Schizosaccharomyces pombe: one gene and its partner. The gene in region 1 interacts genetically with each later gene. Each region holds a gene or a part of one and is shown on either strand. Other genes may lie near its edges. The genes, in order: SPOM_SPBC1271.05C and cbh2.

Region 1 (4,834 bases):
ATTCCAAAAAAAAAAAAAAGCTTTTTAATATATGTAAATGAGTCTATTTAATGAAAGAAAATCAAATATTATAAGACTCAATTCCCTTAGTGTAGAGGAGAAAAATTCTAACAACACGAATGATTTAAGCAACAATTTTGATTTTTATAATTTATCAAAAAACCCGAGAGAAGATGACAATTATTCTAATTACTCTCTCAAAATATGAAAATTTTTAAACAAAAGGCTAAAAAAATGAAGAAAAAAGTTTCCAAAGCAGTTTTCGTTGACTTTTTACGATATACGTTCCGGGTACTGGGTTTCGTAGAAAATCGATCTACATGAATTGCCTGACTTGAATGAAAATTTCCATCACTAAAATAAATTTTGGATTGATGCGATTAAATTACTTGATCGGATGCCGACCAAAAGAGTTGAATACATGATTTCAAATGACTATAAGCGAAAATGCTAGGGGGCTTTACATTACAAGTATAAGGAATTATAACTGGTTTAAATCTAAGTACTTAAAAAAATTTTAAAGCAACTTTCAAAGATTTATTCATCTGTTTAAAAATATTTCAGCAATCTATCGGAAAAACAAGATAGTCAAGTCCAAGAAACCCACAAAAAAATGAGTTAGCTGACACTAGGTATTAAAACATTGCACCAAATCAGCAGGCAACTGGAGTTAAGTAATTTTGATCTTAAAGCAATGAATTTTTCATAAAAGTTTTTGAGAATACCAGATGGTAAATTCAAGAGATATGTGGCGAACAGAGATAAGAGTAGTATAGAAACAATTAAGCTTGATTACAGGTACCGAGTTCACCAAATCAACTCACGATTACAGTTGAGGATAGTAAAATATTAGAAAGAGCATATGAAAATTACACATGGCTCTAATGTCAAAAGCCTACTGCTTGGCAGACGGGAAAAAAATAAAATAGAAAGTAAGTATCATAATGGAAGTACGATTATTCATTAAACAGTCAAATAAAACATTAGAAAATGCAAACGAAAATGAGGTAACTGCTGTTGAAAAGGGAAAAAAAGTAGATCAAAAAATCGTGGATCCATCATTACTGATTGAAATTATAGGAACGATAAAATTCGGAGCGTCAAAGGGAAGATATTTAGAAAACGAAGATGACGGGAAAGGTAACGTGGCCTCCCGTGCAAACAAAGCCAGCTAAAACATTAAAAATAATAATAAGGATAACAGTAATAATAAAACTCCAGCTTAAGAAGAAGAAAAAAAAGTTCTAAGATGGTGTTTTGTAAAAATGTTCAAGTTAAGAATGGATTTTAAACTTTACTTATCAAGGTATCACCATGTTCTTTTTCAAGTTTTATACGGTTGCGTTCATGCTCTTCCTTTCTGAGAGAGAAAAGAGCAACGCAATCATGATCTTCCATAAGACGATGGGCAGCACAAAATCTGCCATTGCAATGCAAGCAATTGCCAGCGAGGCGCAAAGTAATCCTCGTGCAAGTTGGATGGCAACAACGTCTTCTAGAAGTCGCTGGGCGGGTAAGTAATGCTTTGTCAGAACTCTTCTCGGATTCAAGAGGAGGGTTTGTTAAATTGGATTTAGAAATTGAGGGAATGGTAGAGGATTGCTTGAAATTCGACACAGCTTCCGTAGATGCATGATTAGGAGTTAAAGGGGAAAAATGTAAGTGGAAAGCAGATGTAGAGTAGTCTTTGAAATCAATGTCACATGAAGAAGGTAATGGTGCAATATGAACGGCAGAGTCGTGGATAATGCCATAATCAGCGCAAGTCATATTCATGTTTAAACGAGTTCCATGGTAATAAAATGCATGGAGTGATTTTGCATTTTTTGGGAGGATTCCCTGATCAGATAGCAAATCAAAGATATTTCCAAGACTAGAATGCTCGTCTACTTCAATTGAATAAGATTGTGAAGCGATAATTTGCAGCAGGACCATGATTTTACAAAAACAATAGTAAGGGTGTAGAGGATGAAGCAAGAAATATTTAATGAAACAAATAACTTTTCAAAGGAGAAGTAAATCGAAAAATAATCAAAAGAAAAGGAAGAAAAGAAACGTACCGGATACGATAGTGATTAGACAGTAAAGAAAAAAAAATAAAAGCTGTAGCAAAGGAAACACTGATTTAAAAAACAGTAAAAGGCAATTTTCAATTTAATTTAGAAGAAACCGCGTAGATATTTAGCAACGGAAGCGTTTCGGTTGATGAAGTAAGCAAGCAGATTTCAAGAAACAATCAAACACTTCCTTTCTTAGGCAAGGAATTTTGGTGAAAAGAAGGTTATAGAAATTCGAAAGAAAGGTAATTCTATTAGAATTTTAAACAAAAATGTGATTCACTTGTTGATTAACAGTGAAATCGATGATTACAAATCAAAGTACAGTAGGAAAGTAGAAGGCAAAAGTAAACAACTTGAGAAACACTCAAAATTCACAATTTTAAATATTTATGGAAACTCTTGGCAGGCGATCAATTTTTGAAGACAATTGATTCTTTTGTGAACGTTTTGGTGGTTGGCTTTGGGATGTTTTTCTTTCTTCCTAATTCAGCGGATAAGGGAGAATTCCAAAGCAAAGCGAGATAGGGGATCCGACGCTAGACACATGTTAAATGCCGATAATCATGCTCACCTTTCAAACTCCAATTGAAGGATTAACGAGAAATTAAGACGGATGAAAATGGCAGAATATTGGTAGGCAAGAGTAGCTAATACAAGGGTTGGCAATGCCGATGCCACCTAAGAGAGTACGGACGGGAATGCTAATGCAGGACGGATACGGAAGATGGAACGGGATTAATGTTTTGAGATGGCAAAGACGACCTTGAACTTTCAGCAAAGCTCTCGACTCGCTAAATTGTTTATGAATACCCTTCCACCAAGATTGATAGCAAGTTGGTGCACAAAGGATACTTGGTGCTGGTGTTAAATGGGTTTGGAAATTTAATATATTCGATTAATTATGCATTTTGTATTTGTCTCCTTACTTAAGACGTTGGGCGCATTGCAATGGATGAATGTTAGCAACTAAACTCTATATGTTTACTTGGTTCTTTTACTCTTAAGTTACAGGTTTTTCGTCTATAATTGTTATATTATTTCAAATTTGTCTATGATTAAATTTTTTATTGCTATTATTTATTGATGACTATTTGAATTGACTTTTTTTTAATTCGCATTCAAATCAGTGGCGTGAGCTTGATCAGAGTATCCATGCAAGGTGCGAGTGCTAAATCGAAGCCGCTTAGAAAATCAAGTTTTATTCCAAAATTGATTTTAATATGTCTTTTTTTCCCTTTTTTTAACAATAATTTCACTTCAATTGATCGCTTTGTTTCTTAAGTTTTTATTTATCGGCCTCAAGACTCCAGAATGCCAAGAATGTATGCCAATTTTGTTAATCAATCATCATGTTATAAACAATTTACATCTATTTTTACGCATAATATTTGAATCAATGGCAGATAGGCAGTAGAGATCAATGATTCTTAGATGTATCAAGACCAGCAATGACAAAAATGCAGATATCAAATTGTCAATTCGGTTTTATCAAATATCTTCTAGAAAAGAATTAGTTAAAAATCAACATCCAAAATTTATTTAAGACAGATCAAATTTAATGGATCTGGGCATTTGAGAAACGTTGATGAATTCCATATAAACAAACCGCTTATCAATTTCGAACACAGTCTCTATAACATGATTTACGCTCTTTAAGAGATTCTTTTTCTTGGGGAGAAATCCAAATTGATACAAAGTTTAGTAAATAGCTCATATTTCTGGAATAGTTTCCTACGGCAAAAGAAATCGTCATTCTTTTATAAGCGATTTTTACCCTAAGTTCTCTCAACGATGGTATCCTTTGCAAAGCAAGAGAAGTCAAAGATGAAAATGCTTCAAAAACACATTATTCTATAATCTTTTTTATTTTGCCAAGAATTCAATAATCATTTATTAGTGATTGTGGGTAACAACGCTACTTCGTTTAGTCAATGACACTTCAACTTTTTTTCAACCTAAATTTTCGGTTTCAAAATCCACAATTTTGAAGGGTAAGGTAAAAATCATTTATTTGCGTATTCATTATTGTTCATTGCGAAGTGAAACCCTATATTTTGGACCTGATTGTTCTTGTTTTCCAGTAGTTGACGTGTTGGGTTATATCAACAATAATGAACCTGTTCAGGTTTTATCTTTATCCAGTTCATAAATAGGATAAGCAGTCAGGCGAGCAAGTAACTTTTTGAATTGTTTTTGAATACAATCTTTATTTTATAATAGAGGGGAATCACAAGTCGTTTGCGTTATGGAAATGTCCGATACGTTTTTTTTCGATCGAAGCCAAATAGTAAAGTTGCTTAGCTAGGACTTTGTTGCAAATGATGAATGAAAAACTTGGGTTACTGACAAACAATAGCAAAGTTATTTTACTCATTGTTAATTTTTCTTCTAATCCAATATACAGCCGCAGTCATATGTGGCTTTACTAGATGGAATATGCAAAGCGTCATACCTCTCAAAAAAACAGGAAAAAAGCGTTGATTAACTGTCTTTGTAAAACTTTCCGACAATGTTTTTGCATTCCATTTTGTCCTGCTAATTGCTTTAACCATTTGTTTACACATTTTTTTATTTATACTACCATTTGAAAAATGCGAACTTTTTTATTCACGAAGACAAAAATTTATAAATTTAACGATCATCATAGCAATATCTTTTCCAAAAGGATCGAACGGAAATGCTGATTATTGGAATGAGGCAAGCGCTTAAAATATACCAATCAATGCTCCACACGGTCATTCAAACCAAGTTTTTCGTTTACGTAGTCAAGAAAT
Region 2 (4,446 bases), 3.8 Mb from region 1:
ATATACTATGTGTGATCCACTCTCAGCCTTCATAGCTCCAGTAATTACAATTCCGTTTGGATCGAGGGCTGAATCAACAACACTATCTACGTCCTTTTGAAAAAACATGTTTCTACTTTGAAAACTCTCATTCGGTTGGCTAATCGCATTCTCTTTGACAGATGAAGAGCCCTGGTGCTGTGATGGCTCAACTTTTGGCTCTACATTGACAGCAGAAGAGGCGCTTCTGTTGTCAGAGCCAGAGAATGGATTATTATCTTCAAAAAAATCCATTCAATTGTTTCTCACAACGTCCAATTTCAATTGCAATGCTGAATAATGGCGTTTGGAGTTGACAAGTACAGACAGTCATACTGTGTTGATTAATGCATTGCGCTATGCTTATTTTTCGCAAAACAAAAAATTTGTCCCAATTCAATTTCGTAATTTAAACAATTGATTCTTCACTTTATTATTTTATCAATATATCTTATTGAGTTTATAAACGCTTTTAGCGCGAATCTCACATTAATTGAAATAGTACGTCTAGTAGTTAACCTTTAAGAATTCACTGTAATTATTTATCTTTCTTATATTCTATAAAAATTATTTAAAAGTATAGAAAATGTGTACATTTTCGTTAGAAACAAATTTTCCAATTCCCACAACCTTTACACAATCGATCTGCTTTCTAAAACCTTTTGAAACTGAAGTAATGTTCGAGTAAACAAAACATTTCCATCTTCCGATTGCTCTTGAAAGTTTAGTAAAGTATTGATGGCATTTATCGCATCCTTTGTTGATAACAAATACTGTGACTCTTCCTCTTCTTCATCGGTTTCAAACTCTCGTTCATCAAGAAATTGAGCAGCAACTTGGTTAACGATATCGTCATTAGTGTCAGCAGAATTTTCTTCAATAGGGTTAATAAAATTTTCGATTTGGAAAATATCCTTATCACCAAGGTATTTTCCTATCAATTCTTGCAAATTCACCGCGATTCTAATGGTTTCTGGAGAAGGACCGGTCAGTGGTTGCTGATTTTGAAAAAGCCCAGAACGAAGGAAACAATTGTATATTATAGATGGTTCAAAGTCAACGTTCCAAGAACGAATCATCCATCTAACTGCTTTTAGTACATTCATTGTCTTACTGGGGTTCTTTCCCAATCGAATCTCCTCAAGCATGTAATTAAGCCAGTATTTTCTGTAGTATGATTTAAAAGCGTAGACTATCTCTTGGCCACAAGGATGGTAAATTTCTGTAGAATTTACAGGAAGGAAAACAACAGTCGTGTTTACCAACTTTCGCTCGGAATTGCGAATATTTTCCAAAGCGCATTCATGAGCGACAAACTTATCCAGTATAAGTAGAACTTTCCTACCCTTCATCAAATCGTCAAACCAACGAAGCCATTCTTCCATAATGGAAGTGGTCATCCTAGCGGTTCCATTATATCGCCAATGAAAATCCATGGAATCAGGATGAGCATTTGCTTGCCGAAAGGCCCTTGGACTTTTAGCATATCCAATCACCCAAAGAGGGGCCTTTTCAGAACCTGTAGCATTACAACAAATAGTGACGGTGACACGAGCCTTATCTCTCGTAATTCCTTTTACTCGTTCACTCGCAGGAGATTGATTGGGAATAAGTTTCCAGCATAGCCCCGTCTCATCCATATTAAAGATGTCTTTTGGATCAAAAAGACTTATTAATTCCTGTATTTGAACCATGTTTTCCTCATACGTTCCTTGATTTACTGAAGTAGATTCACCCTGTAACTTAAGGCCGTGTTTTAAACAACGCTTTTTGAACTTCTCTAACCAACCGTTACTAAATTCTGGAATCGGAAGCTCAGAGTACTCCGGTATACGTCTCCACAATTCTGCGGCGCTTTTTTTGATGGCGTTTCCAGTAATTGCTCCGTCTTGTTTTTGCAACCTCGTTTGCCAGTCAATAAGGGCGTTTTCTAAGATAGGATATTTTCCTTGGCGGTTTCTTCTTATTTGAGAGTTTTCTGCGTCTAGATTATCTAAAAATTCGTTCTTTGATGATAGAATTGACGAAACGGTAGATTGTGCTAGCTTTTTATGAAAGTGCTCCTCGAACCAACTAATAAGCTCTTGTTGCGAAGGTTTAGTTGCTGACTCAAAATAATGTTTTCTAATTGCTTTTTTTTCAGCTAAAGTCAACGCTTGACGCCTCAATGGAGGCATTCTCTCAAGTTTACGAAAAAATCGTTGTAAGGGAGGTAATCGCGGCTGTCGTGGATGATATGGATGATATCCCGATATGTTTGTGATATTTGATATATTAACGTGTTTGTTATTATAATATTATTATAATATTTTCGTTATGGATATGTTAACTATCTTTATTGCGACAAGTTGTATGTATAATTGTAATATTCGTTTGCTCTTAAATCGCAATTGTTGGATATCTCAACCACAGTGGAAATTAAATAAAGTAAAAGATAAGAAGTAAAATAGGTTTAACTTAAAAAGAATTTGAATGCCATAATTAAGCGATTTAAATAAGCTGAGCATATATGAGAGTATTCTAAATTATATATTTATGGCAATCTTGATTAAAAGGCTTTAAAACAAATCAGCACCGAAACCTACAAGACGATCGGAAAATGAAGTTTCCACTAAACTAGGTCGATCTGGGGCACCATGTATGGGAGCATCTTTGAGCTTTTCAGTTACATCGCTTAGTGAAACATTTAAGTATATCTCCATAAACTGTCCAATTTCAATGTTCTCCATATTTCCTCGAAGATGTTCAGTGACCTCTCCTACTCCATAAACGTTTACATCGACAGCAGTATGGCCGTGAGTGGTCCAGCCAATTTGTGCTTCTACACTAACAATATCACTAAGCACGTTTATAAGATTAAATATATTATGCCGGGCCACGTATATGTCATGAATCTGCTTTGGATTAGGGTCAGGAATGCCAATTGCGGGTAAAACAAACTGTTCAATATAAGGAAGCAACGTATTTTGGTTATGGTTCACGATAGCTGAAGCGAGATATTCAATAGAATGGAGAGCAAGAGATAGGACTTGCGGCTTCCATAAATACTCTGGATATTTTTTGGAGACCTGGCGACCAACAGTCAAACCACCAGTTTCATGATCCGATGTAGAGATTAAAGATCCTCCATTCTTTTCTACAAATGCACTTGCTATTTCAAAGGCCCTGTTGTATTCCATAACTTCGTAAACATGAGCGATAGGGTCATTGTTGTGAGAGGCCATGTCAATTCTACTCCCTTCTATGAGCAAAAAAAATCCTTTAGATGTATCTTCATTAGTGGCGTTGAGCAAAACATCCAAAGCCGTCTCTACCATTTCAGAAAGCTTAGGTTGCACTTCAGGCTGATAATCAATATCATAACTGAGATGATAATCAGAAAACAAACCAAGCAAAGGCAATTGAGCGTTTGATAGCTCATCAAAGTCAGTTCTATTAAGCAAAATTTGGAAACCTTCTTTTTTCCTAGCATATTTCAAAAGATCCAAGTTATCGGATCTACATGATCGATAAGTAGATTTAGGTAAGAATGAACAAAGTCCACCACCGAACAATAAGTCAACACTCCTTCCCAAAGGTCCCATCCCGACTTGGTACTCAGCAATTAAATCTTGCATGAATCGATTCGCGGCATGAGCAGAGAAAGAGGCAGGTGTAGCGTCGGTAACTCTGCTTGTGACAACAATTCCGGTTAAGTAACCGGCTTCTTTAGCAGCCTCTAAGATAGTTCCACAAGGTTTTTCATTATCCAAAACACCAACAGCTCCGTTGTAGGTTTTATTAGCACAAGAAAATGCGGTTGCTCCGGCTGCACTATCCGTAATCAAACTCGAACTGGAACGTGTCCGTGAACTGCCAATTAAATGCTCATCCAAGGGAAGCCTATAACCCTCTTTATCGTTTAGAGTCTCTACAAACGATCTAGTCATAGACAAAGAGCCAGGTCCCATTCCTTTAAAAAAAGTCAGTCACCGAGAAATATTGTAAAAAAAAGGAAGATTCCGTCCCAGTGCTCTAAATATAAAAAAAATCATTTTCCTTCAAAAGAGCAACGGATTTATGAGAGAGCTTACTCCAATCACTTACCGTCAGAAACCATCATAATAACAAATTTTGGTTTCTCATTGGTCCCTTTGGACTTATGAGACGAGAAAAAATAAAAAAATATAACGGTTGATAAAACAAGGATTAACAGAATTCCATGTTTTATCCAAGTTTTCCAATTTCTACGAGAAGGGCTCTCCGGACCCTCGCCATGCACTGGCAGAAGAGGATCGCGCTCAGATGCCATTGAAAACTATTTAAACGGTAAAAATTGAATATCTCTAAAAGAAGGGATGTCAAAGGGTAAAGATCGTTTCAACGCGTATGACTTGTTGATGGATAGTACAAATTTTTGGTGTTGAAACAGCTCAACCATACATTGCA

What was found.
Region 2: mutations in SPOM_SPBC1271.05C (region 1) and cbh2 together harm fitness less than expected from each alone (positive genetic interaction), as found in Schizosaccharomyces pombe (one large-scale study listed by BioGRID).

Annotation. Positions count from the first base shown.
Region 1 is NC_003423.3:360,543-365,376, reverse strand, and holds SPOM_SPBC1271.05C (zf-AN1 type zinc finger protein, involved in ER membrane translocation), read right to left. Parts: upstream 2,528-4,834; 5' UTR 1,936-2,527; coding exon 1,288-1,935; 3' UTR 516-1,287; downstream 1-515.
Region 2 is NC_003423.3:4,180,216-4,184,661, forward strand, and holds cbh2 (CENP-B protein 2), read right to left. Parts: upstream 2,224-4,446; 5' UTR 2,196-2,223; coding exon 651-2,195; 3' UTR 522-650; downstream 1-521. Other genes in the region: sorting nexin Snx41, read right to left, coding at 1-273; pho8 (alkaline phosphatase), read right to left, coding at 2,577-3,970, 4,105-4,309. UniProt on the Schizosaccharomyces pombe protein: Binds to the central core and core-associated repeat regions of centromeric heterochromatin.